4 linked regions of the Drosophila melanogaster genome follow. The protein of the gene in region 1 interacts with the protein of each later gene in a pairwise test. Each region holds a gene or a part of one and is shown in the gene's direction. Other genes may lie near its edges. The genes, in order: Hsp60B, MFS15, CG3107 and kin17.

Region 1 (7,558 bases):
GCAAGCAGCAGGCAGAAGTCCCCGAAGGAGATGGTCGCGTGACTCTCGAAAAGGGGGGTTTGTACGCTAAAAGTATTCCAAAATAAATTTAAATTGAAATGATCGAACCAATCTAAATTTGACAATGAAAACCATTTGTAAGTACGATGTACCAAAACGTTAAAAAAAAAAAAACGGCTCGTGAGTTTTTAAAGGCCCACTTCGTGTCAGAAATCCTTTTTTGAATATCTGGCGTGAGTGGAGTGAGCACGCGCACTCAGCTCTGATGAGGTGAGCTGGTAAGGGGGATGAGGAGCAGGCACATTTTTCGGCTGATTCTGCAGCTTCAATTCGAAGTTGCAGCACACGAACATGACTTTCTAGCGGATTTCTTTGCATGAGCTTTTGCGGAAAATCGAGGGGGTTTTTGAGACGAGTTTTTTTAGGGGGGCCGTGCCAAGCAGGCAACTATTTATGCGCTGTTGCCGAGGCTTCCCTCTTCTCTACATTTAATTATTTTGTTTAAAAAAGTTTTGACACCGCGACGCGCATGCAGATTTACAGTCCGACTGCGATTGGGATTTTTTCTGTGTGTTTTTTTAGCTTTTCTGGTTTTTGGAAGCGGGAGTGGAAGTCATAGGAAGACTGACAGACCGGCCAGCGGCTTTTGGCATGTGTGGTTCGTGGAGCAGGGGCGACAGCCGTGACAACAAAATGTTCAAAGGCTTAGCAAAAAACCACAGAAAAACATTTGCCACTCAATTTTGTGTTTGCCGGACGAGCACGAGCTGCAGATTGGCTGGGATTGGATTGGACTATCCACTGCCCCCCACTTACCAACCTCCACCAACCTCCTGGTTGCTGGTTGTTAGTGCCGAGTGTATCTAGATTAAGGCGCGACAATAAGTATTAAGCATTAAGTTGTCTTTGCCACGGCGCCGTGTGAAGTGCCGTCTCCATTCCGACGACTCTGACACTCCGGGTCAACTGTTTTGTCCACACTCGTACGACACTCGTACCGATGTGGCACTACAAATCGCCGGTCGAGTGGGTGGCTGCAGATTTGTGGTCATGGGCAGGAGAGATCTTCGAGAGAAGAAGGATTGTTTTATTTAGTTTTTTTTTTTGTATGCCTAATGATGAAGTGGGAACGTCCTGAATTGATAAACCAAAGATGTTTAGTTTAAAGTTCAATAGTAGGTATAATTAATTAGATCAACCTTTGCCGTGATCTGCCCACCCTACCTCTTGACTTCTTCTTTTATTGGCTAAGTCTGACATTTTCCTTTTAATTTATGCCACCAACCTGGGAGATTACACAGATTGCGGGTTATGCAAATTATTTTGCCACCGTTGCTGCCACAAAGGCTGCCGTTTCGTTGGCTTGCTGCAGTTTGTGTCTAGCTTAAGTTTAAGTCGTTGTGTGGCTTTAGTTGTTTCGAGCCCACTGACAGCCAATTTGGCAAGTCAACCGCGGGGGACAGCGCGGCTAACGTGGCGTATGAGCGATGCCATTTAAGCGGCGTGCTAAAATGGTTTTAATTATTAGCCAGCGAATGTTTGTGCATTGTTCGGGGGGACTGATAAACAAACACAAACTGAAACGAAATCGAATTGTACGCTGCACGCATTCCCCGGCCGCTTCATTGAACCGTATAGGAATTTAAATTGCACAGCCACCGAAATCGAGCTACGGAGCACCTGCTCTGCGATTTTCGATCGGTGCCAGTTGCTTATACGACACGGTGGCCGGTCGAACTGGTGGGCTCCAGCTCCCAGCTCCCAGCTCCCAGCTCCCAGCCTCAGTCAAATCGAGTCAAAAAGTTAATTACAGTGAATGCGGCCAACGATTTTCATGCACTCTTGACACCGCCCGGTACGTGACAATATGAGAGGCACTCATTCCGCGACGCAGAGTTGGCCACAGTTGGGTCAAAAAAACTAGGGGGGCAAAGGCTAAATTGAGGCTAAGCTTTAGCTGCCTCATTACACTCAGAAATATGCACTAACAGCTAGCGTATGGCCAGAATTGAAACATGACACACACATTTTATATGCCCGTTAATTACTGTAATTCAAGATCAAAATTATTGGCCATTTAAAATTGTTGAACCTGATAATTTGCTATGACGACCACCAAATTATTTATTTTAGTGCAGTTCATCGATAGATCGCTCCCATCAGCTCAATCTGCACTTGGCTGCCCCAGATCCCAGATCCAGGAATTTCGTCTGCCTGGTACTTACGCAAATGCTCAGATTGAACTGCCAGTCTATCGTCTGCAGTCTATCCATTTCTCATTAAAACTTTCTTTGCTGTCTGCTCCACAATTACCCGAACGACTTCATCTGCTCGATCCACGGATCCATCCGCGGGTAATGACAGAGCCGGCAAAAAATCTGCCAAAACCAATAGGAAATCATCAGCCAACGGTCAGTGGGTTAATTTTGGCCCACCAAAAATACTGAAATGAATTGGAGAATCCCCGAAGATGGCCTGCAATTAATCATAGATTGAGGCTTATTCGCTATCCAGCGAAAGTAATTTGTAGCCGACAAGAGACCCTGCAGATCGCTTGTAGTTACGATTATCGCACAGCCCACCAGGTGGTCTTCCCACCATGGACACTTTCACATGTCGCAGAGTTGGCGCAGATGGGGAGAAAGGTTGCGAGAGGAAGAAGAGTCGTCGAACATGCAAATGCCTCATCAATCAGCTCCTCCGCCCTTCCCCTTCAAATCGGTGACGTGCTTTTGACACAAAACCCGGCTACTGTGCTACCGCTTGCACATGGCAATCAACGCGTCAAGCGGCCAGGAAACGGATCCCGATTCCGACCCCAGTTCCAATTCCCGTCTGCGGCACACAGAAAAAAGTTATACCTACTGAACTAAATGTGACATTATTTTATACGTATAGAATACGAGAGATAGCTCATATAAATCGCATTGAATTTATATGCAAACCTATTTCTAAACATTCATACCTAAGTGCAATTCATCGTGCGAAAGTAATGCCTTCTTGCGCGCTGTGCACCCAACATTTTCATCCCATCTCCATTTCCATCTCCGCCTCAAACTCCCCATTTCCATTTCCATTTGCCGTTTGGCTTGCAGCAAAATGTGTGAATTTCTTTAGTTTGCAGTAGGCAGCACACAATTTTTGACAGCTGCCTTCGAAATGGGAACGGTCAGCCGAGGAAAATGCATCCATCCTCCGGTGCAGAACAGTCGCACCGCAGTTCTGGGAAATCTGCACACGCTGGTCTTGTTTGTGGGTCAGCCTCAGCCGATGGAGGCGAATAGAACTGCAAATGGGCAGACTCCACCCAGAATGTCGGGGCTTATTAGCTGCACGCTAATTTATTCCGGCAAACAGAAGGCACGGCTTCTGTTGTCGAAGATTTCAGAGCCGCAGATCGCAGACGGGCAGGCGCCAGACAAATGAATGTTGTGAAATCTGGCGATTGCCTGGAAACTTGTCCGCAAAGAGAAAAAAGAAAAAAGAGAAAAGTGCTCAAGGAAAAGCAATATAAATAAAGAAGAATGGCTTGCACATGTTACATAAAACGAGAAGCTTAAAGATAATGGAAACAAAATTTGGATTTGAATATGGGAGTAGGCCTTGAACGAGTCCGTCTAGTCCGTCAGTATCGAGTCAACAACCTACATATTAGTTGCACTCACTTCGTGTCTGAGATCAAACGAAAAAATATTAGAACCAAAAGTTTTGAAAGTTTTTTTTTTATTATAGTTTCAAACTTAAGTGCAAAATGTTTCGGTCGTGTGTGCCCAAGGCGATTACCTCTAGTCGCTGTTTCGCGCGGATGTACTCGAAGGACGTGCGCTTTGGCTCCGGAGTACGGGCAATGATGATCCGGGGCGTTGATATTCTGGCTGATGCCGTTGCTGTGACCATGGGGCCCAAGGGTCGCAGTGTGATCGTGGAGCGACCATGGACCTCGCCGAAGATCACCAAGGACGGCTTCACGGTCGCGCGCTCGATTGCCCTAAAGGACCAGCACATGAATCTGGGCGCCAAGTTGGTCCAGGATGTGGCCGATAATACGAATGAGTCGGCGGGTGACGGCACGACCACAGCAACAGTTTTGGCTCGAGCGATTGCCAAGGAAGGATTCAATCAGATTACCATGGGGGCTAATCCCGTGGAGATTCGTCGAGGTGTCATGTTAGCTGTTGACGTCGTAAAGGACAAGCTGAAGGAAATGTCCAAGGCAGTGGAAACGCGTGAGGAGATCCAACAAGTAGCCACCCTCTCCGCGAACGGGGATACTGAAATTGGGCGGCTCATTGGTGAGGCCACCGACAAAGTGGGTCCAAGAGGAACTATTACTGTAAAGGATGGCAAGCGCCTGAAGGACGAGCTAAATATTATCCAGGGCCTGCGCTTCGACAACGGCTATGTGTCGCCCTTTTTCGTAAACAGCTCCAAGGGGTCCAAGGTGGAGTTTGCCAACGCCCTTGTAATGATATCCCTGAAGAAGATCACTGGACTCTCGCAAATAGTTAAAGGTCTGGAGCAATCCCTGAGGCAGCGTCGTCCCCTGATCATCATAGCCGAGGACATCAGCGGGGAAGCCCTCAATGCTTTGGTCCTGAACAAGCTCAGGTTGGGCCTCCAGGTGTGCGCCGTCAAATCGCCCAGCTATGGACACCACCGCAAGGAGCTTATAGGCGATATATCCGCTGCCACGGGAGCAACTATTTTCGGCGATGACATCAACTATTCCAAAATGGAGGAGGCTAAGCTGGAGGATCTGGGTCAGGTTGGCGAGGCTGTGATTAGCAAGGACAGCACCATGCTCCTGCAGGGCAAACCCAAGACAGGACTTTTGGAAATGCGCATCCAGCAAATTCAAGATGAACTGGCGGAAAAGCAAATCAAGCCAGAGCAGCGGGATCGTCTGCGCCAACGCCTCTCCGCCCTCACGAAGGGCGTGGCAGTGCTGCACATTGGTGGAGGCAGTGAAGTTGAGGTGAATGAGAAAAAGGACCGTGTGGTGGACGCCTTGAATGCCACTCGAGCGGCCATCGAAGAGGGAATTGTCCCAGGTGGCGGTACGGCCTTTTTGCGCTGCATTCCCTACCTCCAGGAACTCAAAACGGAGAGTGCAGATCTCCAGAAGGGCGTCGATATCGTCTGCAATGCCCTGAGGATGCCTTGCCAGACCATAGCTCAAAACGCCGGAGTTGATGGCCCAATGGTGGTGGCCAAGGTGTTGAATGGCTCGGAAGACTACGGCTACGATGCCATGGGCGATGAGTACTGTCGGCTGGTCGAGAAGGGCATTATTGATCCCACAAAGGTGCTGCGGACCGCCATCACGGATGCAGCTGGAGTGGCCTCTCTTCTGAGCACCACCGAGGTGGTTATCACCGACTCCCGGAACGATGATCTTTTGTCCAAGTTGTCAGGAGCTGGCGGCGGAATGGATGATGGACTGGACATGAACATGGGTGGCTTAGAGGAGCTGGCAGCCTTAAGTGGATTGGGTGGCATGGGTGGTATGGGAGGCATGGGTGGTATGGGAGGTATGGGAGGAATGGGAGGTGGATTCGGCGGAATGGGCGCTGGTGGCGGAATGAGCGCTTCTGCCAGCAATGACGGTCCCACTGCCGAGGAGATGAATGAAATGGTCAAGGCTATTCCCGGCATGGAGCAAGTAGAGGTGCGTGACATTGACAGTGGGATGATGTAGAACCCGCTTCCGTTATCCGCTCCAGCTCAAATCGTTTCTATAGTTCAAATATCTGTTGAGTGTCTAAATTTTATGTGTTCATCTAAAATATAAATTGACAATCGAAAACGAATTGTATAAAACAGTCGGGAACCCTTCCAAATGACTTGAGAAAGTGAATTATTGGCCTTTTCCCTACACCAGCAGTTTTCTGGCCAAATATCTTTCAACCGGTTCATTATGCTGGTCTGCAAAAAGCTACACTTCCTTCACACTTTCGGTTTTTAATTGCAGCCGAAAATTTGGAACGGCGACCGGCAGAGCGAATCCAGCTGCAATGCGATGATCATTTGCATAAAACAAACAGCAATTTCTCACACATGTGAGCCGACCCTCGGTTTTTTCCCCCGTACTTTGCATGGTTTGTGTTTGCAGATTTCATTTGTGGCCCGCAGCTAAAAAAGCGATTCGTTACATGAGAGTGAGTGCGCAAGAAGGGGGGCCTGAGGCTGGGAGCCTCCACAAGAGCGTCACATCAAACATGCATCAATAAATAAGTAATTCCAATTTGCAAATTTTTCATCGAGGCCCGCAAACGAACCGAAAATGGTGGACGGACCCATCGAGCATCGAGCGTGGGCCAGGGAAAAGCCACAGCCTCTTGGACCTCGCGAATCGGTCCTAGTCAGGTGGCTTGGTCTGGTCGTTTCGCGTCGAAAAGGAAATTGTTCATCTGGCAAACATATTGGGCACCATCGCCAAGGCACAGCAACAACTCCATTCGGCAAGTCGGAAAACTCTGAGCCAAAAACCAAAAACAGACGAAAGGCAAATAAAAAGGCTATCGCTATCGCTCTTGGCCAATCTGCATGTGCAGGCAAGTCTTGTTTTTGTTTTTCCTTCTTTTTGACTGCGTGTGAGACTGCGAACAATGACAACAATGAGCGAATCATGGGCACTTTGCCTGGGAACCCCTCTTGTCGTCGACTTTTCTTGAACGTCTACTAAACAAAAAATATTTCTATAGTACTCAGAAAAAAAAAATGTTATCAGCCAGTCAATCTAATTTACACTTGCAGAGTTAAGGCCTGACAAGCCATCAAACTCGTTTTTTAGATTATCTTAATGATCACATTTAAACACCGCATTCATAAGCGATACCTCGTTATAAACGCTCAATTAAATTATTCAATATTTGTTTTCTTTTTTATTTATTATGCTGTTAAATGATGCTTACAACTGATAAGCGAGAACTTCATGTAGGAGCGTAGGTGCCAAAATTTTTGCAAGTGCACAACGCCGAAAGGCCAACGAGTGATTGGAGCACAGCAAATGGCATTTTTAGCTTTTGACATTTCACGCGTATGGCTCCTCAGTCTTCGCCGTCATACACGGCGTATGTGTGATGTGGTACTATAATACTTTTCGCTCTCTCCCGTTTTGGTCTTTCCCGATCGGGACCTCAAAAACGGGCGGCGGTGCTTTAATGTGACTCGCGTTCCGACTTCGAGGCTAATGCCATAGATTTGAGTGGCCGACTAATTCACGACAATTTGCACTGATCGCCGATTACAGATGGGGCTTTCCGTGTCCAGCATCCCAGTATTCCAGCATCGACTTCCTTCTGGTCGATCGGCCTACGCTCACTTCTCACTGCTCTTTACCACAAATGTATTTTTAATTACATTGGCAAACATTTTCGCGTTCTTTGGGTGGTGAAGAACAATGGTACTGCACTGGGAAAATCTCGTTAGGAAATCAGAGATCATAGATCTTTAAAAGCTTTAAATATTCGGCTAAATAGTCAAATATTCTGTGTTGAAATAAGAAGCCATAAATCACTGATTTTATAACAAACAAAAGATGACTTTCTTGACATAT
Region 2 (7,267 bases), on another chromosome or scaffold:
TAAAAATAGCCAAATGCACGAAAACAAATCCGCGTAAGGCAGAGACCAGGCCAGGAAAGAGCTAACCATGTGTGTGTACAATGTATGATGGCATATGCCGCGGCCGAGGGATCGTCGTCACGTGAGGATCGGCCGATCGATCGGCCGGTTGCCCCGAAACAGGTAGTGTGTTTGTGCGTTTGTGCACATGTACCTTATACTCTATACTTTTGAGGTGGGGTACATATAGTACAGCACCGTCTCGCTGCATTTTACACGACAATAACAAAGAGGAGGTCTCACAAAGTCCAATGCTCGATTCTCAGTGTTCGCAGCCAAGTTTTGGTCGAGTGGGTGTCTCTGTATATGTACATATGTGATGTTACCACCCATCTCTCTCTGGCCCGCTGGCAAGTGCGTGCGTGAACAAGATTTTGACATAGTCAAAGTGTTTTATAAATAAACGCGCCCCACATACTTACATGGCTACCAGTTTGGGGCTTACGGAGCGGCCAACTCGCAGAGAAAGAGAGATTGAGAGAGACAGTGAGCTCCGCGCTCGTTGATTTTGATAAGGCGCCGCGAGAGAGCGAGACGGAGTAAAAGCGCCACATGTGAAGCACGCCCCAACCCCTCACCAACCGTCACCAATGCTCCCCACTTCGTAGACCCTATGGCATAACCAACTGATCCGATCTCTCTTTCCTATTACAGAGAAATTCTTCGGGGTGAGGCATGTGCAGTGCATCCTGTGCTTCTTCTGCCTCGCGATGAGCTACGCTTGGCGGGTGAACCTCAGTGTGGCCCTGGTGGCCATGACGGACAACAGCACCTCCCTAGCTCAGAACAACACCAATACCGGAGTGGCGCCAAGCGAACCCGGTTTTGATTTCTTTAATTCCGAGGTAAGTGCCGGAAGCTCCCAAACAACCGATCTCTAATGATTCGAAACTCTCCAAACGATCTGAAACTTCGTATTCAAATGTATTTTGAGTTGTTACTCATGCAATTTTTATAATCATTACAACAAAATATTACATTAAATCACATACACATACTATGTGGTTTTTGAGGTTTATCGTTTGAACTTGAAGTTCGCTTTTTCAAGCATATGTTTCCTATGTTTTGGAGGTTTCTAGAGCTATTCACCCGTACCCTATCTTACCAGTACTATTCTATTCACAGCGCTACTACAACTTCACCCAGAAGGAGAAGGGCAACCTGCAGGCCAGTTTCTTCTTTGGCTACATCGTGACCCAAGTGCCAGGTGGTTATATCGCCCAGCGCTATGGAGCCAAGACCATGCTGATGTACGGATTGGGTATAGCCGCTTTGATCACGATGCTCTCGCCGATGTCCCTGCAATTCGGATGGGTCGCCCTTGCCGTGATGCGATTCGTGATGGGCCTGGCCCAGGGTGCAGTACATCCGGCCACGCATGCGCTTTTGGCCAAGTGGTCGCCCGCGGATGAGCGAGGAATGCTGGGAACACTCTGCTACTCGGGCGCCCAGTTCGGAACGGTGGTGATGCTGGCCACTAGCGGTTTCATTGCCGACTCCGTCTTGGGCTGGCCGAGTATCTTCTATTTGGGCGGAGCATGCGGCTTTATTTGGATGGTTTTCTGGTACCTATTCTCGGCCAGCACGCCGGAGGAACACCGTCTGATTTCGCCCGGAGAGCTGAAGTACATTACGGATTCGCGGAGCGATGGCAAGATGCAATCCGCCGAGAAACTGGCACCCACGCCCTGGAAGGCCATCTTTAGTTCCCTGCCCTTCCTGTCTCTGCTGGTGGTGCACTGCACCCACATTTTCGGTTACTGGCTGCTGCTCATGCAGATTCCCACGTACATGAAGAAGATCTACCACGTGGACATCAAGAAGGGTGCGCTGCTCTCCTCCCTACCCTACATGGTGATGCTGCTCCTCAGCTTCTTTTTCGTCTGGCTATCCAAAGTGCTCCAAAAGAAGGAAGGCATGTCTCTGTCCTTCAACCGCAAGATTTTCAACAGCATTGGCCATTGGATACCTATGCTCTCGCTGATCGCGCTAGGTTATGTGCCGGCGGATAATGCTCCACTGGCGGTAACACTGCTCACCCTAACGGTGGGAATCAGCGGAGCCACCTATCTGGGCTTCCAGGTGAACCACATCGATCTGTCCCCGAATTACGCCGGAACCCTGATGGGCATTACGAATTGTGCGGCAAACGTGATGAGTGGAATCGCACCAGTGATCGTGGGACAGATTGTCGTCGATGAGGTGAGTTGATTGGCCCTGATATGGCAGTGAATCCCAATTAACTCTCGTTTTTATCTTTAGACAAGCGTAACTGAGTGGCGATTGGTGTTCCTGCTGGCTGCCGCCTTCTACTTCTTGGGCAATCTTCTCTTCGTCATATTTGGACGCACGGAGGTGCAATGGTGGGACTCCCCACGGGACAATAAGGAGGATGCGGAGCAGGGCACGCCTCTGGCGCCCAATGGCCAGGTCAAATAGAGCCTGGGATGGCATGTTCATACCGCATCCAGAATCATCCGGGCTGTTGTTTCTTAGATTCGTAGGCGTAGTTAGTTAGTTAGACACCAGACAAGCTGAAAGTTAACTTTAGTGACGATCGCGTGCTTCCATTAGCGATATTATACGGTAATTGCTTAGTCCTAAGGCAGCGTAAATTATTATTGTTTGCAGTATTTCCATAATGTACATAATCCAAAAAAAGAAAGAAAGAAAGAAACACAAACTATCAATCAAACCAATTAAACGTGCAACTTGAGAATACGTTCAGTGTAAATAGGGACAAAGCCCGCGGCGAGCTGCAGCATCAACTCTAGTAATTGTTATGTTTTAGTTTTAAGTTAGGCATTAGCGAAAACTTGTGATGAAAAAAGTAAACTAAAAAAGGCAAAAAATGAATAATGAAGACAACACTAGCCATGAATAAAGCAGCTCACTTCGCAGCTGTGAAAGAGTCAAAATGTAACGAAATCATTTGTGTTTTATTTGAACTGGGGTTTGAATTTGATAGTCCGACACTTGTTGCTATCGATTGAATTGCACTATCAACCCTAATGGAACTATCGAATAGTAGCGTTGAATTATGAGATTTCTTCACTAGTTGGTTTTGGTTATGTTAGTATCTTATTGATTTTAATAATAATAGTAATAATAATTAGAAAGACAGGCTTTTATGCTTGTTATGAACATTTTGTTTAACAATATACAAGTTTTAAACTGCAGTCCACCCTAATCTATCGTTGCACTTGTTGAAGCAATAGTGTCGATAGTGCCGCCTCTATCTAAGTGGGCAGCAGCTGGCACTTGTTGTTGTCATCAGCTGTGTTATGTTTAGACGCTAGTTCCATCCATTCCCAGCTGCCCCTAGCAAGTATCCAACGCATCACACAAGTTGGCTACGTGGAAGACACTGCACCTGCAATATGGTGCTGGGATGCCTGCCATGCTGCAATCACAACGGCTACCAGCAGATCGGGAACACGGGTGGGTGGTGACATGACCTTTTGGCCTTTGTTACCGCATCCGCTTTGTTAATTACGCGCACCTTTTGCAGGTCCACGGTTCGGAGTGCGTCATCTGCAGTGCATCCTTGTGTTCTTCGGACTGGCCGTGGCCTACTCCCTTCGCGTTAATCTCTCCGTGGCCATTGTGGCCATGACGGATCGCAATGCCAGCAATCCGGATTTTCCTGTATGTATGCAGATAAGAGCGCAGAATGAGTCAACAATTATTTTCGCTTGCATTATTTAATGAGGACCATAATTTAAATTTAAATCAACTTAAAATTTCGTAGGAATTCGACTGGAATGAGAGTACAAAGTCGTACCTGCTTAGTAGCTTCTTCTGGGGCTACGTGGTCACCCAAATACCTGGAGGTTACTTATCCGCCATTTACGGTGCCAAGTACATGCTCTTCTACGGCGTTCTTATCTGCTCCTGTTTGGCATTGCTAACACCGTTTTGCGCCGTAAACGGTGGCTGGACAGTGGTGGTGGTGCTCCGTGCGGTGCAAGGACTCTGCCAGGGCGTCATTTTCCCCTCGACACATACGTTCCTATCGAAGTGGGCGCCGGCTGAGGAACGTGGACGACTGGTGGGCTACACGTACTCTGGCTCCCAGTTTGGCACCGTCGTAATGCTGTCAGTTAGCGGATACATTGCCTCATCCTCACTGGGCTGGCCCAGCACTTTTTACATACCCGGATGCGTTGGTATCGTTTGGTCATTCGTGTGGCTATACCTATGTTCCAGTACGCCGGCGCAACATCCAACGATAACGCCAAATGAGCGAAGGTTCATTGAATCTTCTGGACAGGCGAGGAGACCATCGGATGCAGGACGCGAGGAACAGCCACGTCCACCGACTCCATGGTGGCGCATCTTCACTTCCGTACCTTTTCTAGTGCTCGTCCTGGCGCACTGTGCTAACAATTGGGGCTTCTGGACTTTGCTTACGGAGATTCCCACCTTTATGAAAAACGTTCTCGGCATGGACATTAAGAATAATGGTCCGCTTTCCGCGCTACCCTACTTCGCTATGATCCTGCTTACCTGTGTTTTCATCTGGCTGTCAGACACACTGAAACAAAGAGGAACAGTTATCCCCCTGGGATTCTCCAGGAAGTTCTTCAACACGCTGGGAATGTGGCTTCCCATGCTCGCACTTATCGGACTGGGATACATTACCGAGGGTGAGGCGAATGTCCGGCTGGCCATTGGATTACTAACCGCTGCGGTGGCCACCAATTCGGCCACTTATCTGGGCTTCCATGTAAACCACATCGATTTGTCACCGAACTATGCGGGTACACTAATGGGCATTACAAATTGTGCGGCCAATTTTATGAGCATACTGGCACCCCTGATAGTAGGACTAATAGTCTGGGATGAGGTAGGAAATGCGACCTTTTAATCTTTAATGGTTTTTTAAATGATTTTCGTTATCCTTTCCAGACAAATCCGGCGCAATGGCGAATTGTATTCTTCTTCACCGCGTTTGTTTACTTCATTGGGAATCTACTGTTTATGCTTTTCGGACGCACAAGGGTTCAACCGTGGAATAGTCGCCCCACAACGAGAACTCCGTCGCCTGGAGGTGGTGGAGAGCGGGATGAAGGTACTGAGGATCGAGGTCCGCTCATTGGCGCATAAGAAATAACAAAAAACGTGGCCTAAGGATTGGTTGTAGATGTGAAACATTTGTACCTTGAAGGCGAAGCATTCCTTGGAATTGATGAATCGCAATTAGTATCGTATTACTAGTTATACACGCAACACACATTTATGTCTACATATATGCGAAATATATATACATATATATACAATTTACGTATAAAGCATTGAAGCACTCATAGTTTTAATTTTTCGTTTCGTTTTTATTGGTATTTGTATTTGCATTGTTTGTACACAATGATGTACATATGGTAGACTTATATGCTGGCTATGTGGTATCCTGACGTAATGCTATCTCTAAGGTCTACATACTAATGGTTCTAACTGGAAATATCAAGGGTTTTCAAAAGAGCGCTCAATGCAGGTAAAGTTTCTTAATAGAAATTTCATTTGTGGTTATTGTTATCTTATTCAAAATTCGTTTTAAAAAAATGTATGGAATTATCTTCACTCTTCGATATTTCATTATTCTTTTAAAGTGCTTATTTTTAACATATTTTTAATTAAAGCTAAGTAATTACAGCGGATACGGTTTTGTATTTTGGGCCAATGCAGCTGGAGGAGCTATCCTCCATCGTCCTGGACCCCGTGAACCCCATCCGTATCCCCTCTGCCCCTATGTACATGATGAATCTTTTCAATTTCCGCTGCCGGAGGAGTGTGCTCAGTGCAGTTTGTGATTGGCGGGCAGATCTTCGGAACGGATGCATCGTCCGCGGTAGCAGATCTCCGTTTCGGAGGTGACTTTGGTCGACGTGGACGTGGCGTACACCACATGCTCCATCAGATCCTTGTGGAAGCTGTCCTTTTTGCTCTCCGCCACGGTGGCTTCCGTGGTGATGGCTTCATCCGTGGGCGCTAAAGTCGTTGTTTCCGGGGGAGTGACTGGACTGGTTCGTCGGATGCTTGTGTACTCCTGGCGACGCTTGCCTACGGCCGCTAGAGCGGCGGTCACTGCTTCTCCTTCACTTTCCTCTATGGCAAACAGATCGTGCAGTTGCTTCTTCACCTCGGAGAAGATGCTCGGTTGCACTTCCAGATCGTCCACATCCGCTGCCGTGTCCATGCGGCGTGTGGCGCTCTCCTCGCTCAAGGGAAGAATGGAGGTAATGGTGGCCTCCTCAACGTCTTGGGCAGTGGTGACCTCATACTCCTCGGGCGTCGTGGGGGCTGCCACTGTGGTAGTCACAACCAAAGGCTCTGTCTGGGCTTCGGTGGATGGAGTTAATGGAGTGGTGGTCTTGGGTAGCTCCTCCTTTTCGCTGGCTGCTTGAAGAGCATTGTAGAGCTGAGGTCCTAGATTCTGGGACTCAGCCGTCTCGAAATTTTCCGAGTTATCCGAGCCAGATAAGCGGTTCTTTTTCTGCCACTTGCCACGTCTGTTTAGGCGACTAAAAGTAGTGCTGGTGGTTTCAGTGGTCGACTCCTCGGGAGCTTTGCCCATCACTTCCTCTAAAAGCTCGGCAAAGGATTTCTCTGGCCTATAAATATGTATTTAGTGTATTGTTCGATATATAAAGCAACAGTTCTTACTTCAGATTGGGCGCCATAATAGTGGTGCGCTGAACCGACGATCCACCAAGATCAGCAGCAACATTAATATCATAGGTCTCTGGTTGATTGGTTGGTCCTGCGGTCACAATCTCCGGTTCACTCTCGAAGTTATGGGTTTCCGTTTTGTATTTGGGACTCAATGGCTTGAAGCTGTTCGTGTTTGAGTTGCTGTTGGCTGTTTCCGATGATGGCGACCACTGGGATTCCTGACCTTCCAGCTGGAAGGGTTGCTTGTACCGACGACGATGGGTGATGGGAGACTTAATGGGTTACATATGTTAAAAGGAGTTTTAATATATTGTATCAAACTCGCATACCACGGTGGATTCTTTTTCCTTTGTCTCTTGGTTGTTGTAGCGGCTCAGCTTGCGGAGATAGCTCTTCTGGGTAACGGGTTCGGATTCCTCCTCGGGCGCCACTGTCGAAGAGGAGGCAGGATGAGTTGGGCGACGCTGTCGCTGACGCACCTTAACCACTCGACGAGGTGGCAGACGGGAACGGATCTTAAGAAAGTAATACATTTAAAACAAGTTTTAAAATTTGA
Region 3 (9,915 bases), on another chromosome or scaffold:
TGAACAACCAGATTTGGCAGAAAGTAGATCCTCCGAGAACAGAACGAGCTATAGGCTGCAAATGTGAAGAGGGATGCCAATGACCAAGTGCAGAGATACAAGGCACGCCTAGTAGCCAGGGGCTGTTCACAGCGGTATGAAATTTATTATGCAGAGACTTTTTGACCTGCTTGTCGGATGGAAAGTATTCGTTTCATACTTTCCCTGGCTGTACAGTTAAAATTACATATGCACCAAATGTATGTCTGTACAGCTTATTTAAATAGCGGTTTAACAGCCCCTAGGATTTCAAGCCAAAGATCATGCGGACGTCGTGCTTTTGCTAAAGAAAGCCATTTACGGCCTTAAAGAGTCTGACAGAGAGTGGAACTGTAAATTGGATGGAGTTTTGCGTAGTATTGGGTTTAATCCATGTACAAAAGACGGTCTAATGTGGACGATCTAATTCTAGCTTGTCAAGATAAAAATGATCTCATAAGCATAAAATGGAAACTCGCTCAATCCGTCAAACTGTCACGGACAGTTGCATATGTTTCTTGGATTTGAAGTATATCGAGAAGGCCAGCTGGGCACGATAATGTTAAGTCAGAGCCAGTATATTGAGAATCTGCTTCAGCGACACGGCATTAAGGATTGTATAGCAGCTGCAAATCCACTGGATGCAGCTTTCCAGTGCAAATGCGACAAAGAGGTGTTGATGTTGATGGATGCCAAGGAGTCAATGAGCAGAAAGCAGCAGAACTCATGTGGTTGGCGGTATCACCAAGGCGAGACATTTTACTTACAATGTCTAGATAGGCGTAGCGTAACAAGGATCCCCACAGTGAGCACTGGACATGAGTAAAACATGTACTCAGATATTTGGCATCGACAATGTATCTAAAATTTCATTATAAAACAAGAGAGAACGCTGTAGTCGAGTTCCCGACTATCAGATACCCGTTACTCACTGTTACTCATACTGTGAATGCGAACGCAAAATTTCATCATTTTTCTGGGATATCGTTATCGATATAGGGGAATAAAATGAGAAAAAAATTAAAAACTGTTCAGAAGTGTGGGCGTGACCGATTTGGCAGCTTTAGGGCGTTAGAGTGAGCAACTAATAATATTATGAAAAAATATCAAAGCAATCTCCAAAAGTGTGGGCGTGGCAGTTTTGGGCGGTTTTAGGGTCTTAGAGTGGGCGTGGCACGTTTTCCCTCAAATCGATGGAAATTTACAAGACTAATAAAATTATGAAAAAATATCCAACAATTTTTCAAAGGCGGGGGTGGTAGTTTTGTTTTTTGCAGATCGATAGAAATTGACAAAACTAATAAATTGTGAAAAAATATCAACACATGCGTCTATGCCTCTGGAACCTTTATGCTGAGTCTCAACCTTCTAGCTTTTAAAGTTCCTGAGATCTCGACGTTCACATGGACAGTAGGACAGACGGACATGGCCAGATCGACCCGGCTATTGATTCTGATCAAGAAAATATATACTTCGTAACGCATCCTTTTCCAGTTACATACTTTTCATCCAACGGGCGTACCCTTTATTGGCTGCGGAGAATCTGGAACATCGACAATAATGACAATTTAAGCTCTCACCAGTTGGCAAAGAATCCTGTACATGACGGTCTTTATCTTCATCTGTATCTTAATGTCGCTACTAAATCGTATACTTTCAAATTGCTATTCGCAATTCTTTATTCAATGATTTATGATCGTTCAAAAATAAAACATAATTCTGGGAGTTTTAAAATTGTTAAAAAATTCCAATTCACGTTTGATATGCTGTGCTGGATTAGGACATATTGCGTCCTCTCAAGATGTCACATCGGTATTTCTAATTTTTTGACATGTGCGTCAAAATATCGTCGTTGGTGGAATAGTAACATGAGAACGTTTTTTTTATTTAATTAACTTTTCGCTATTTATAAGTGAATTTCAAAAAATTTTAAAATTTCAAAAGCGCACATACATATGTAAAGAAAAGAAAGATCTAACTATCTATTTACGAGGGCTCAGAAAAGCATTTAGAATAAGCATCTAAATGATCCGTGTTGGCTTTCTGAGCTGAAGGCAATACCTTAACTTGTTGTTTGTAAACATGCGAACTTTGAAGACACATTTAAACTTAATTGCATATCAGCTGTGCTGCACTATCTCCGGTTACGTTCTCTCTCTCTCTCTCTCTCTTCCTAGTGCTCTCGCACCTTACCGTTCTGCTGTTTGCTCTGTAATTAAGTCGCTCATTAACATTCGCTTTCGTAACCTATGTATGCGCGATTCGATGCCAAGCTTAACCTAAAGAAATGAATTATAACCGTTCGAAATCTCTACTATAAAACGTGTATTCATTTCTTGAAAATATCTAAAAATTAATAGTAATAATAGCCACAATTTGACAAAACATTAAAACATTAAAAATCTACAACTTTTAGTATCATTTCTGAGAGACACTGCACTGGAAACCATTCGCAATATCGGATGACATTTACGCTAAAGAATTGGCAATATTACAAAACATTACAAACATTGGCAAACATTACCAATATTCTGTGGCTAAGGGCAATACAGAGTGGACTAGACTTCAAAAATTCAGTTCCAGTGTGTGAATCGATGGCATCGTTTCTGAAGCAGCGATGCAGGACGCTGGAGAATATGGAGTTCGCATAGGCAAGCTATGCGCCATGCATTCACAAGATGTAACAGATATGTAGTTAGATTTTACATAGATTGTATATAGATAGATCTTTCTTTTCTTAACATTTTTTGAATTTACCTAAATATAACGATAAAATATACATATGTAAGTTAAGACTATCACCCAGTATACAATCTGCCGAGAGAAATGCAAGAGCCTAAAGCTTTCAAGATAAGAGTGATGCCTTGACTTAAGATGTAGGGATAGCTTAAGAGATAATGATTGTGTGAGTTAGTTGATTTGCCTTGACTTAAGATGTTGGGATTGCTTAAGAGATAATGATTGTGTGAGTTAGTTAATTTCTGGATATTAATAATATTGAATACTCATTTAGCGCAGACCGCGCTTTTAAATGAAATTGTTAGCATTATATTTTTCATTCAAAGCATTTCATAATTTGTATGAAAACGTCCTAGTGTACCATTTTCCACCGTTCCCCCATCGCAGCTAAGTCATCGACGATAGCTTGACTCAATTATAAGTCGAATAAAATGTAATAATTTAGATTTTAATTGTCTTTTTTTTCTATACGCCGGTGAGTAAAATTATTTAGGTCCATTTCTGTTTGAATCAAAAATTAATGCCAATAAGGCATTGTTATGCCCGAAACACTACGTATACGTGCATATTTATCATGTATGTATATTATTAAGCAGTAATATACACGCTTACATACGTACATACATGCAATTGCATGAGAAACACTAAATTGTGGCATTCAGGGTCAAGATGATTGTCACAGTTCAGTTATTTTTAAAGTTTTTGCCGATTAGATCTATGGAATGATTTTTCATCAAGGCCGTTTTTAAGCTTTATCCAAATTCAGCCCAAGTTTATTGACCCATGTCGCCAATAACATTCTAACGCTCACAAACCAAACGAAACTGCCACTTCCACACTTTTGAAAATTGTTTTGATATTCTCTCGTTATTTCATTAGTGTTGTAAATTTCTATAGTGCTAAAAAACTTTGCTGTTGCCGAACAAGTCGATGGTTTGATTGGCAATGTTGCAAGTTGCGCAGTCTTGTTGAAACCAAATGTTTTCTAGACTATTCTCACGCACTTTTAAAAACAAAAATTCGTCGAGCATAGCTCGTTAGCATTTCCCATTGACGGCTCTATGATACCACCACCCCATAAACCGCACCAAATTGTGCATTTCTCTAGGTGCATCGATTGCTCATGGTATGCTTGTGGATTGGTGTCGGCCTATATGCGGCCGGTAAAATTGCTGATTGTGTTGAAGAATTCTCAGCGAAAACGATGGCCGGTTGGCTTCAGATCCTAAACCATCTGAATTTTGTGCGCTTTGAGACCCAAATCTTAGCGAAGATCCTTCACAATTTTGTTGGGCAAAGGTGTAACTCCTGCGCGCGGTGACGAATAGATGAGTTCCGTTCTTCTGTTACACTGGCCTCAACGGCCCCCATATGTATTTTCTACAGTGCGCACCCTGCGAAGTCTAGTCTGAATTGAAGGCCGATAATGAGCACCATTAAACTAGCGAAGCAAACGGTGTACAAATGACCACTGATTTTCGAAATAAAATTCAACGATTTGGTATCGCTGCTCAGCTATTATAGCTATTCATCAGCTAACATCAAAGGTAGCCCAACTGAACCCCATTGAAAAAAAAACCCCTTATAAAAAGGGTCGGATGTGGCTTTCTTCGGCAGTTACTAATAATTAAATTGTAAATACAAACACATGTATGATTCTTTGATATACAAATTTATACTTCTTTATATATTCTTTTGTATTTAGCGATTCAGCACGGATGGTGCTGAGTTCATGTTAAAAGGTGGAATGTTATCGCGGTGGAAGATGTGGTCTCCACAATACAAAATCTTGAGAAATCACCTTATAAATTTCAAGTCGGTGTCCACATATAAGAACATTTCTGGCGTCAATACCAAGCAGCCCAAATCTCCACGACAATTTGGTTGCATGCCACATGTAACTAAGAAAAGAAAATACAAGTATGAAGAGGGAAAGACATACCATGGCTTCCAATGCGAACGTGTGGAACACATTTCTGAATTTGAACTTACGTCCTATACTTTTCGATATGAGCGCACGGGTACAGAATTATGGCATATCGACCGAAATGATTCAAACAACGTATTTTCCATTAATTTTCGAACCACGCCCTTTGATTCTACTGGTCTACCTCATATTTTAGAGCATTTATCGTTGTGCGGTTCACAAAAATATCCTGTCAGGGACCCTTTCTTCAAAATGCTTAACCGCTCGGTAGCGACATTTATGAATGCAATGACTGGTCCAGATTATACTATTTATCCTTTTTCGACGATGAATGAGATAGATTTTAGGAATTTGCAACATATTTATTTAGATGCCGTATTCAGGTAAGATGTAAATAATTGACGATATCTCGTAATAATATCTTCCTTTCTAGACCAAACCTGGCGTATTTCGATTTTCTTCAAGAGGGCTGGAGGCTAGAAAACAAAGATATATTCGATAAACAATCGAAGCTTGTAATCAAAGGAGTTGTTTATAACGAAATGAAAGGTGCGTTTTCTGAAAACGCGCAGGTATTTAGTCAGAATTTACTCAATAATATTTTTCCTGATCACACATATCGACATGTGTCTGGCGGAAATCCATTGGAAATACCCAAGTTAGCATACAACGATTTAGTTGAATTCCACAAAAAATACTATCATCCAAGTAATGCTCGCATATATTCCTACGGATTATTTGATGCAAGTAAAACCCTCGCACTTCTCGACGAGGAGTATTTATCAGATCAAAGCTGGGTTGACAACTCTTACAGTTTAATACGTCAGCAAGAGCGTTGGACTCAGCCTCGTCTTGTACATATATCCAGTAGACTAGATAACATGGGTACAACAATTGATCGACAGAACCAAATTGCTATTGCACTGCTGATGTGTGATGCAACCAATATACAAGAAAGTTTTGAATTACACGTGCTATCTGAGGTACTTATTCGTGGGCCTAACTCCCCTTTTTACAAAAACCTTATAGAACCAAATTTTTCCGGTGGATACAATCAAACCACTGGATATTCATCGGATACTAAGGACACAACCTTCGTCGTTGGATTACAAGACCTTCGAGTTGAAGACTTCAAAAAATGCATTGAAATTTTTGACAAAACCATTATTAATTCTATGAATGACGGGTTTGATTCCCAGCATGTTGAAAGTGTTCTGCACAATCTTGAGTTGTCTTTAAAGCACCAGAATCCGAACTTCGGAAATACTTTGCTTTTTAATTCCACAGCATTATGGAATCATGATGGCGATGTAGTCAGTAATCTCCGCGTATCAGATATGATATCAGGGCTTCGGGAAAGCATAAGCCAGAATAAAAAATATTTCCAAGAGAAAATAGAGAAATATTTCGCCAATAACAATCATAGACTAACATTAACTATGTCACCTGATGAGGCATATGAGGATAAATTCAAACAGGCCGAGTTGGAGTTGGTAGAACAAAAAGTAAAACTTTTGGATGAAGTTAAGATTGAAAAAATATATGAGAGAGGATTAATATTGGATTCATATCAGAAGGCTGAGTCAAATACTGATCTTTTACCTTGTCTGACAATGAATGATGTAAGAGATCCACCAAAATGGCCTAAGCTATTCATACAAAATGTTCAAAATGTTCGGACCCAGATTTGCAAGGTTCCGACCAATGAAATTACTTATTTTAAGTGCATGTTTAATATAACAGGACTAAGTCATGAAGAAACTCAGCTTATGCCGCTTTTTTGCAATGTTATTAGTGCAATGGGCACCACAAACTATAATTATCGGGAGTTCGATAAGCACATCCTTTTAAAAACCGGTGGATTTGATTTTAAGTTACACTTAATTGAAGATGTTAGGGATTCAAAAAGTTACAGTCTAAGCGTAATGATAAACACACATGCACTTAATAACAATGTTCCAGAGATGTTTGCCTTGTGCCAAGAGTTGATTAAAAATGTTAGGTTTGATGACTCGGAGCGACTTAAAATGCTTATAGAAAATTATATATCATATATATCTGTGGGAGTGGCTAGTTCTGGTCATTTATATGCTATGTTGGGAGCAACATCACAAGTGTGTGATGCTGGTAAACTCAAATCGCTACTATATGGGGTAGATCATATAGACTTTATGAAAAATTTTGTACATTCTACAAGCACGGTAGATATATGTGATAAATTGTCGACAATTGCATCAAAAGTTTTTAACAAGGATAATATGCGTGGCGCCATTAACACAACACAATCTTATGAGCCATCGGCTATAAGTAATTACGAAAAATTTTTGGAGAGCCTGCCAACATTTGGGAAAACACAAACAAGTCGAAATATCCATTATTTGGACCCTAGCTGTCAACAATACGTGATGAACATACCAGTTAATTACTGTGCTAAAGCTTTGTTCACAGTCCCATATCTCCACCAAGACCATCCAACACTGCGAGTTTTGGCAAAATTGCTATCAGCCAAATATCTATTGCCTGTTATTCGCGAGAAGAATGGCGCTTACGGAGCTGGTGCGAAAATCAGCTCAGACGGGATTTTCAGTTTTTATAGTTATCGAGATCCAAATTCAACTAAAACGCTTAACGCTTTTGATGAAACTTATAAATGGTTACGTGCAAATCAAAATGTAATTGACCAACAGTCTCTTTTTGAGTCGAAGCTTGGTGTGTTGCAGCAATTAGACACTCCAATAGCACCTGGAAATATTGGCATCGATTATTTCCTTTATGAAGTGTCACAAGAGGATTTTGAGAGCTATCGCTCCCGAATGCTCTCTGTAACTATTGATGATCTGCAATGCGCTATAGAAAATTATTTTGGAAAAGAGTCCATGCATTATGGAAAATGCATTTTGGGTCCAGTCAATGCAAATTTGGAGCTTGAAACTAGTCACAAATGGATAATAAATAATTAACTAGTTGTAAATGTAATAAATTTATAAAATTCAATTTATTTTATTGGTTTATTTCTTTCATATATGTCCAAAGGACTTATGGGATTAATCAGGAAATTTAATATAAAAGAGATCCCTTGTTTTTTAATCATATACCTTTGAAAAAACGTTGATTTATATGCGCTAAGTGTCACATGTATCGTTTCATATATAGACTCTCGGGGTTTCCTAATACTTCCCATGACTAGTAAACGGTAACCTTTTCACCATTTCAGTCAGTCAAATTCTCAATTACACTCTCATCGCTGTCACCGAAGTCCAAATGTAGGAAGTTGGAACCAATAAATATTATTTAAGCTAAGGGTAATAATACTACCTTGGAATATTTCCCTGCATTCTTTGAAATTGGATTTTATCAAAGTAACATCTTCGATTTATTTAGATACTCAGTCAGACTTAATTAATTTGATTAAATACACAGTTGGATTCAAAAGTTAGCTACGCTCCATTACCGAAATTCGACTGCCAGGCCAGTGTTTTGCCGGCCGCTTAGCCAAATCCCACGGTGTCATCGCATTCCGCTGCAGTCACACGCGCAGCGTCGTCAGCGGTACGCTACAGAGCTCTAGGGTCGTTGACCTGTCGTCCGGTGCTGACGTTGCGATGGAGGTGGGGTAGGAACTACCCCGCAGCTGCAATAGTGGCTTCGAACGGGGTTGGGAGGGGGAAGCAAGTGCTGCGTTCTGACTCCTCCCCCTTCAAGATCTGCGTCCCCCAGATTAAGTAGCCTTGGTTTGTCCGGAGGTAACAGGCGGATCCGGGAACAAGGTAATATTGCCTAATTTCTGTAGTCCATAGGTAGAGGTCAATTTTCTTCACAGGAAATACAAGAGAGAAACGATGAGCAGAGTCAATGCTGCCTGCGTAAGAAATGAAGCCAACAACTCCCCGGTCACCTCGGAAATCTTTTCCAAGATCTTTAAACTCACGTCACGCATCTACTCCAGAGATTGGCGTTGGCTGATACTTGTGTTAGGACGGCCGGCAATGACATCAAGTGGCAGTTTGAGTAGCTCGTGAAATTTCGGCCACCAACTGTTAAGGCCTCGCAAGCGTCTTATCTAGCTGCCAAGCTCTTGTGACTTCCGAGACTTGGTTGGTAAGGATAATAGCATAGTTTAGGATAGCAGTCGTCACATAGATGTCCCCATCAATGACAATTACTATTGCGATGGCCTCGTTTATTCGTAATTGACTCGTGGGTGGCGTCAAAGAGTCTGGAGTTAATCCTCAGTTGTTGGTCACTATTCTTTAAGGGCACCTTCTGTGTTGCCAGAATTGTGTTCCAGTCAGCTGCGTCGGGATTCCCAGCTATCCATTTCCATGCAGATCCCAGCCAGTTTATCGAGCAAGGTTTCCTCACGGGGGCACTGGCTATCCGGTTAACACACTCCGTTGCGCCTTTGAGATGAGTACTCAAAAAAGATCTCAATCCTCCTTTCCTACAAGGAAGCGGCATCTTAAGCGATTTCGTCCATAAGTTGTCGCATTTTTCCAAGGTCAACCACGTGAGCCAGCTTGAAGACTCCATTGATAATACAGATATTGCCGAAGCGGGACTATCGGCTCTTCATTCTTGTAGACGGCTACCACTAAGCAAGTCAGAGGAAGATTACAAAAAAAAAGATCTTACAAATAAATCATTGCTATGCTATATTGTGTTAATACGAATATTTTTACATGTTTGTTTGAGTGCTGATGTTTGTTTACGTGTTTATGTTGTTGTAATAGTTTGTTACTTTGTAACGAACTGTTTTTCTTGGTTCTACTCGCTACGAGTTGCAGTGGCCAGCTCAGGGAGTTTGCGTGTCCCAACAAACCTTTGATTTGTTTTATTGCCCGACCAAGGAAAAATCAGAGTTTTAGATTAAAGTCGTTCGATTATAGTATATTACAGCTGGCTCCTCCAGTGATCGCCGTCTGCTGCGCGGCGTTGCTCCCGTGACGCCTTGGGTTCTTTGTACTGTGTGTGCCTGACAACGGACGAAGTGCAGGTTCAAATGGGATAACGATGTTATGGGGGCATTGTGTATCGTGCACGGGTTAATGCAACGCTCGGCCTTGGACTTGGCTTAGGATGTTAGGGGCAAGGTGTATCGTCCACGAGTTAAGGCAACGCTCGGCTTCCACCACAAGGATCAATCTCCACTTGCACTGCTCGTCCTTCTGAGCTCGTCCTTCGATCTTTACTGACTCCTTCGGACGTTCTAGCCTTCGCCTTCAGACTCCGTT
Region 4 (6,858 bases), on another chromosome or scaffold:
TAAATCTACATTGACAATACGCCACGTTTCCTAAAGTTTTTGGGTACAAGGAGAATTGTATCTGTGAGTTTTAATCGTTCTATTATAGCTTGAAAACGAAATTTGCACCGAAAGCTGATAAAATTCCGACTCTGCTATCTGCTGGATAAGTAAAATGCTGGTAGCCACTTGGAGTACTACCAGTACAGCAATGAAAGTAAAGTGAAATGGGCATTTCATTTTCTACTTTCTATTTGCAGGCACACTGGAAACAGTTTACTGCGAGATTCCCACTTCATTAGTTGGCAATGCACGTGGACGACAGCAAAAAGCACTCGTAGTACTTGTTTCGCCCTTGATTTGCATCTAAGAATCGCTCAGATACATCTGGTGAGCTGAAACTCGTTTCTGAGCCGCAGTGTCGTGCAGGTATCCGTACTCGTTTGAATATTTGTAAGTAATCATTGCAGCGAGACTTCCAAAAAGTAAGCTCAGCTAAGTTCTGCGGTGTTGGGCATCCAATTAGTTGACCAAGTTTTCTGGTGGCATGCACATGAAACTTGTTTAATCGATAGGGTAAATATGCAAATTTCGATTGAATTTGACGATAATGCGTCGAGATGAAAAGAAAACGAATTGTGCAGGATTTTGGTTACGAGATAAGCCGAATCAGCTAATAAGGCACGTGCTTAATTGATATATATTGTATGTTTAAGTAACCTAAATATGCACGACTTTAATATCACTTTTATTTCGCTTTCGTAATAAAACGAGGTTCACTCTAAAGAGCACAAGCGTGGAGGTGTATGTGTGTTCTTACAGCCCCGATCATTTGTATTTCCATTTGAGTGCGAGCGAAGACGAGGGTTTACAACTTGATGAGAATTTGATCAAGATAACATTAAAACACAATCTGCTGCAGTCGGACGGGGCACTTCTGATTGAATCGTCGACGGAAGAGGTTCGGATCTCGAAAGCCAAAAATAATCAGCCTTTTACTGGCCAATTGAGATACGGAAACTTCTACCGACCGAGTGTAGTATGGCTGAATCAGTGGATGGAGCAGAGACTGTTGACCAGATTCGCGATGGCCTCATGGACGACTGGAAGATCCTGGAGAACGTATTCCACCTTCTCCGGAAGGAGGATACCTTCTGCGTGGATCCCCAGAAATGGGACAAGCAGAAGATAGTCCCCTTTTTGCAGCCAGACAAACTTAAGGTGAGTGGAGCAAGTGATAGACGATTCGGCGTCTGCCGATGTGGAGATAACCAGAGATAACAGAGAACTGATTAATGGAAGAGTTCATTCGAAAATTGACCACCCGACCGCAAATTGTAGCAATTGTACTATGGCTTGCCCGACGAAATGTGAGTCAATTGATAGTAGCACTTCCTGATTGAGCACACTCATGCTAGTATCTGATAGTTTTAATTATAATTGAATTGTTTGTTATTTCATAGATTATGGTCGGTTTTTTCTGGGTAAAGATATTATTAGTTCGAAACAGAAAACGTTTTAGAAATATGTTGAATCTTTAATATACTTTCTTATTGCAAAAGTCGCTGTTCTATAACAATCTTGAGATTACATGATTTCGCACCATCACTTCCAGGAACTGATTAACCTGAAGGTTCGAGAGACGGAAAACTGCTCGCTCGCGGAGATCGAGGAGCTGTGCCAGCAGGTGATCCATTACTCTGTGAAAACCTCGCACGGCCGCTTCCACAATCAGCTCTTTGGCCAGCTGGACCCGTTTGGACTGGCAGGAGCCCTGGTCACCGAGGCCATGAACGGCAGCACGTAAGTCTGCGCCTTATTCCACACATGTGTCTTGTCTATATGAGTGACCGCTGATTGCATCTCGTGTTCCAATCTACAAGTGGTGTCGGGGTTCAACGTACAGATAATTGCGCTATGTAATGGAGATTGCAAAGTACTACATGTATGTTTCATAACCCCCCCCCCCCCCTTTCGATTAATTTAAATGGGGATTAAGCAGAGTTCATACACAATCATTGCAAGTTATTAATCATTTAGATGAGATTTCCTAGATAGGACTACCAAAATCAGACTTTTAACCGAGGTATCCAACAAGACACAATAAACTTTTGTTTCAGATACACCTACGAAGTTGCGCCCGTGTTTAGCTTGATCGAAACTGAGGTGATCGCGACCATCTGCAAGTTAGCGGGATACAAGGAAGGCGATGGCATCTTTGCGCCCGGTGGCTCCACCTCCAACATGTACGGCATGGTTCTGGCCCGCTATAAGATCGCGCCCGAGGTGAAGACGTCTGGAATGTTTGGAATGCGACCGCTGGTGCTCTTTACCTCCGACGAGTCGCACTACAGCTTCGTGAAGGCGGCCAACTGGCTGGGATTGGGCAGCTACAACTGTGTGTCGGTGAGGACCAATGAGCGGGGTCAGATGCTGTTGGACGACCTGGAGGCGAAGATCGCAGAGGCAAAGGCACGTGGCGGTGAACCGTTCTTTGTCAACTGTACTGCAGGCACCACTGTGTTGGGTGCCTTTGATGATATCAATGGTGCGGCGGATGTGACGGAACGACATGGTCTGTGGCTCCATGTGGACGCCTGTCTGGGAGGCGCTGCACTACTCTCCGCCAAGAACCGATCGCTCATTGCCGGCCTCGAGCGGGCGAATTCGTTTTCCTGGAATCCGCACAAAACCATCGGCGCTCCATTGCAGTGTTCACTCTTTTTGACCAGGGAATCTGGCCGTCTGCTGGAAAGATGCAACAGCACCGAGGCGCACTATTTGTTCCAGCAGGACAAGTTCTATGATGTATCCTACGATACGGGAAACAAGAGTGTCCAGTGCGGCCGCAAGATCGACGCTTTCAAGTTCTGGCTAATGCTTAAGGCTCGCGGATATGGAAAGTATGGACTCATGGTGGACCACGCCATCCACATCGCCAGGTTGCTGGAAGGCAAGCTGCGCCAGCGTGGAGATCGCTTTAGACTGGTGATCCCGGAGCACGAGTACTCCAATGTCTGCTTTTGGTTCATTCCGAAAGCAATGAGGGTGTCCAGCGAGGAGGAGACGCCTGAATGGTGGAGTCGACTTTACACTGTAAGTGAATAACAATGGCTTTGATAGACCATTTAAGCTCACATTTTTATATGCTCCTTTAAAGGTGGCCCCGAAAATTAAGGAGCAAATGGCCCACAGCGGCACTTTGATGATTGGTTACTCGCCTCTTAAAGCTAAAAATCTGGGCAACTTCTTTCGCATGGTCTTCACTTGTTTTCCCATCCTGAAAAGCAAAGAGTTGGACTTCATTTTGGACGAAATTGAGAGATTGGGCGAGAAAATTGTGCTTTGAATTATTTTCTATGTGAATTAAGCTAATTAATGGAAATCGTTCAATTGTACATTTCATTGTAGTTATTACTTTGTGATAAAAAATACGCCTTTATTATGTAAACTCGGCTTAATCTCTATTTTGAATATTTAAATAAAAATCTTTCAAGAAATGAATATTAAGTTTTTTAAATTCATTTTCTACCGCTATCAACAAATAATATTAGCCTGGTCACACGAACATCCCCCAGCAGTAACTATCGATAAAAGTGTTCACGGGTATTGTTGTTATACCCCAGCGCGGTCATACCTTTACGTGAGATCAAAACAATAAGTTTTTGTTGAGAAATTATTTGTAAAACCACGCACATAAAAAGACGCTACGATGGGTCGCGCCGAGGTAGGTACGCCCAAGTACCTCGCCAACAAGATGAAATCGAAGGGTCTGCAGAAGCTGCGCTGGTACTGCCAGATGTGCGAGAAGCAGTGCCGCGATGAAAACGGCTTCAAGTGCCACACGATGAGCGAGTCCCACCAGCGCCAGTTGCTCCTCTTTGCGGACAATCCTGGCAAATTCCTGCACAGCTTCAGCAAAGAGTTCTCCGACGGCTACATGGAGTTGCTGCGCCGGCGGTTCGGCACGAAGCGAACCAGCGCCAACAAGATCTACCAGGAGTACATTGCCCACAAGGAGCACATCCACATGAACGCCACCCGATGGCTCACCCTGTCCGACTACGTGAAGTGGCTGGGCCGGACTGGGCAAGTGATAGCGGATGAGACGGAGAAGGGCTGGTTCGTCACCTACATTGATCGCAGTCCAGAGGCCATGGAACGACAGGCGAAGGCTGATCGCAAGGAGAAGATGGAGAAGGACGACGAGGAGCGGATGGCCGACTTCATTGAGCAGCAGATTAAAAATGCCAAGGCCAAGGACGGCGAGGAGGACGAAGGCCAGGAGAAGTTCACCGAGCTAAAGCGCGAAGAGAACGAACCACTCAAGCTTGATATTCGCCTTGAGAAAAAGTTCCAGCCTGACACTGTGCTAGGGAAATCCGCTCTAGCCAAGCGACCTGCCCCTGAAGCTGAAGAAAAGGTGTTCAAGAAACCCAAATCCGTGGCTGGAGACAGCCAAACGCGGTCGGTGCTGGACGAGATCATCAAGCAGGAGGAAAGCAAAAAGGAGCGTGCCAACCGCAAGGACTACTGGCTGCACAAGGGTATCGTGGTCAAATTTATTTCCAAATCCATGGGCGAAAAGTTCTTCAAACAAAAAGCGGTTGTCCTGGACGTAATTGACAGATATCAGGGCAAAATCAAGTTCTTGGAGACTGGGGAAAAGCTAAAAGTGGATCAAGTAAGATGGAAACCCAATTTTAATCTATAACGGATATTTACCCAGGTGTTTTTATTTTTTTTTGTTTTCCAGGCTCATTTGGAGACGGTAATCCCCGCTTTGGACAAGCCTGTCATGGTGGTTAATGGCGCTTATCGGGGATCCGAGGCTCTGCTAAGGAAACTGGACGAGCGCAGATATTCAGTCAGCGTGGAAATATTGCACGGTCCTCTCAAAGGCAGAATTGTAGACAACGTGCAATACGAAGATATATCTAAACTACATGGCGCCTAGCTGCGCTTTTCTAAGTTAAATTCTATAGTTGTACCTTTTTATGCCTAATTTGATATATATGTAAGTAAAAAATCTTAACCATTTCGGAGAAAGGCTGAAATCGAACTAGACAAAAATCTGCACATAATACGTTCGTTACTTAAATTTGGACTGCTCAGCATTTGGGTTAATAAAACATGACTTTTTAATGAAAATAACTAGAACACTCTCATTTACTCAGTGTACGAATATTTCAGTGGGTATGCAAACAATATTTTCGAGTTCAGTTTGGGAACAATAAAACCAGCGAACAATGGCCGCTTTACTAGCGATAATTTCTATACTTGCAAAACTTAAACTAGTTCCAGCATCGGTGTGCTAAAGAAGGGATATGAGGATTCTGTGTGGCATTGTTATCCTATTACGCCTCGGAGCATTGGGAGATATAGCTGTTGACGAAGAGGGAAGGTTGACGCGAAGCTGGTGGGATGCAGTGCCTAGACTTTTAACTGACATCGCCACCATTAAGGCGAACATACTCACAGCTGCTCCACTTGAATTGGCTTCCAACATAATTGATGCTGTGTGTAAGGATAACGTCCTGTGTTTATCAACATATAAAAAGTTATTTGATTTTATTGTGATCTAAATGCCAGGTTCTTCCACCCTCTTTATGGACAGAATCCCTGCGCAAATCACTCCGGACATAAGGAAGATGCATTTTCAGTACATGACGCCGTGCCAGAACTACAGTGTGCCCCTGCTGGAGGCCTCGAAGCTGTGGAAGCACTCTCGATTCAGCAAGGGACGTAAGGTGGTAATTCTGGCCACCGGATGGACCAACACCGTAAACGAATCCTCGGCCATTTCGATGATCTCTAAGGCATTCATGTGTCGTGGCGATGTGAATTTTGTGGTTCGTCTCGTGAATCAATTCTGAAAGTTCATATCTAAGGCTTCCATCTCAGATTGTAGATGCGGCTGACTATGTGGACACCTTCTACGCGTGGTCGGCGCTGAACACGGATTTAATTGGAGAGCATATTGGAGTTGGTCTGACCCACCTTATAGAGCTGACCCCACTTCGAAATATTCACTTGATTGGTGGGTTCATAAAGGAATCCTTTGTGTCCATAAATTCTGGTTCTGATTTCTTTGTAGGACATTCACTAGGAGCTCACATTATGGGCACTGCTGGTCGGACTTTTAAGAAGCTTACCGGAAAACTTATACCCAGGATAACTGGCTTGGATCCGGCCAAGCCATGTTTCAGGCGGGAAAAGATTCTGCCAGGATTGACGCGTGGCGATGCCAAGCTAGTGGACATAATCCACACCAACATTGGTATTTTGGCCAAGCGTGGACCCCTCGGTGATGTGGACTTCTATCCCGGCGGAGCACATCCCATCCAGCCAGGCTGCCTAACCATCGGATGCTCTCATACCCGAGCCGTTGAGTATTTCGCCGAGAGTGCATATCCACACCAAGAGAAGAACTTTATGGGCAAGAAGTGCGCTTCTTGGGATGAGCTAAGAAAACGGGATTGTTCTGCTGGCATAGTTTCCCCGATGGGCTATCGAATGAATCCCCAAGCCAGGGGCATCTACTACGTAGATGTCAATGGCTGGCCCCCTTACGGCCGAAACTCGGAGAACACTGTTGATCCTAGGCTTAAAACGTGCTACTTGTGCCGGAGGTGAAGTCCGAACCATGGAATAATATAACTTTTCTTATTTACGATGCTTAAATATATATGTACCTTAGTTAATTTATGTTGTACAACGTTTAGTAATCGATTTGCGTAAGATCTAGATCATCATTGAAGGCCTCGGATATGTCCTTTTGGCTCTGCATGATACGCTCCTGGGTTTCCGCGATTCGCCACAACTCATCGTCATCGTCACCCATCAGCATGGACCGATCCCCATGGCCCTTGATATCTG

Evidence for each region.
Region 2: the proteins of Hsp60B (region 1) and MFS15 interact in a two-hybrid assay, tested with the Drosophila melanogaster proteins (one large-scale study listed by BioGRID).
Region 3: the proteins of Hsp60B (region 1) and CG3107 interact in a two-hybrid assay, tested with the Drosophila melanogaster proteins (one large-scale study listed by BioGRID).
Region 4: the proteins of Hsp60B (region 1) and kin17 interact in a two-hybrid assay, tested with the Drosophila melanogaster proteins (one large-scale study listed by BioGRID).

The regions. Positions count from the first base shown.
Region 1 is NT_033779.5:724,757-732,314, forward strand, and holds Hsp60B (heat shock protein 60B), read left to right. Parts: upstream 1-3,605; 5' UTR 3,606-3,751; coding exon 3,752-5,698; 3' UTR 5,699-5,808; downstream 5,809-7,558. UniProt on the Drosophila melanogaster protein: Prevents misfolding and promotes the refolding and proper assembly of unfolded polypeptides generated under stress conditions.
Region 2 is NT_033778.4:18,792,690-18,799,956, reverse strand, and holds MFS15 (major facilitator superfamily transporter 15), read left to right. Parts: upstream 1-3,278; 5' UTR 3,279-3,419; coding exon 3,420-3,480; exon of another isoform or gene 3,481-3,550; coding exon 3,551-3,687; intron 3,688-3,790; coding exon 3,791-4,888; intron 4,889-4,950; coding exon 4,951-5,148; 3' UTR 5,149-5,339; downstream 5,340-7,267. Other genes in the region: MFS14 (major facilitator superfamily transporter 14), read left to right, coding at 694-884, 1,165-2,241, 2,302-2,478; CG15080 (uncharacterized protein), read right to left, coding at 5,834-6,650, 6,703-6,983, 7,041-7,226.
Region 3 is NT_033778.4:5,087,410-5,097,324, forward strand, and holds CG3107 (uncharacterized protein), read left to right. Parts: upstream 1-3,171; 5' UTR 3,172-3,333; intron 3,334-3,594; exon of another isoform or gene 3,595-4,391; intron 4,392-4,462; 5' UTR 4,463-4,489; coding exon 4,490-5,067; intron 5,068-5,117; coding exon 5,118-7,644; 3' UTR 7,645-7,681; downstream 7,682-9,915. UniProt on the Drosophila melanogaster protein: ATP-independent protease that degrades mitochondrial transit peptides after their cleavage. Also degrades other unstructured peptides.
Region 4 is NT_037436.4:20,353,206-20,360,063, forward strand, and holds kin17 (kin17), read left to right. Parts: upstream 1-3,601; 5' UTR 3,602-3,691; coding exon 3,692-4,663; intron 4,664-4,735; coding exon 4,736-4,936; 3' UTR 4,937-5,126; downstream 5,127-6,858. Other genes in the region: eRF1 (eukaryotic translation release factor 1), read left to right, coding at 240-349; CG5618 (uncharacterized protein), read left to right, coding at 1,021-1,200, 1,595-1,782, 2,100-3,075, 3,140-3,328; CG5665 (uncharacterized protein), read left to right, coding at 5,307-5,502, 5,572-5,831, 5,884-6,615; Prim2 (DNA primase subunit 2), read right to left, coding at 6,701-6,858.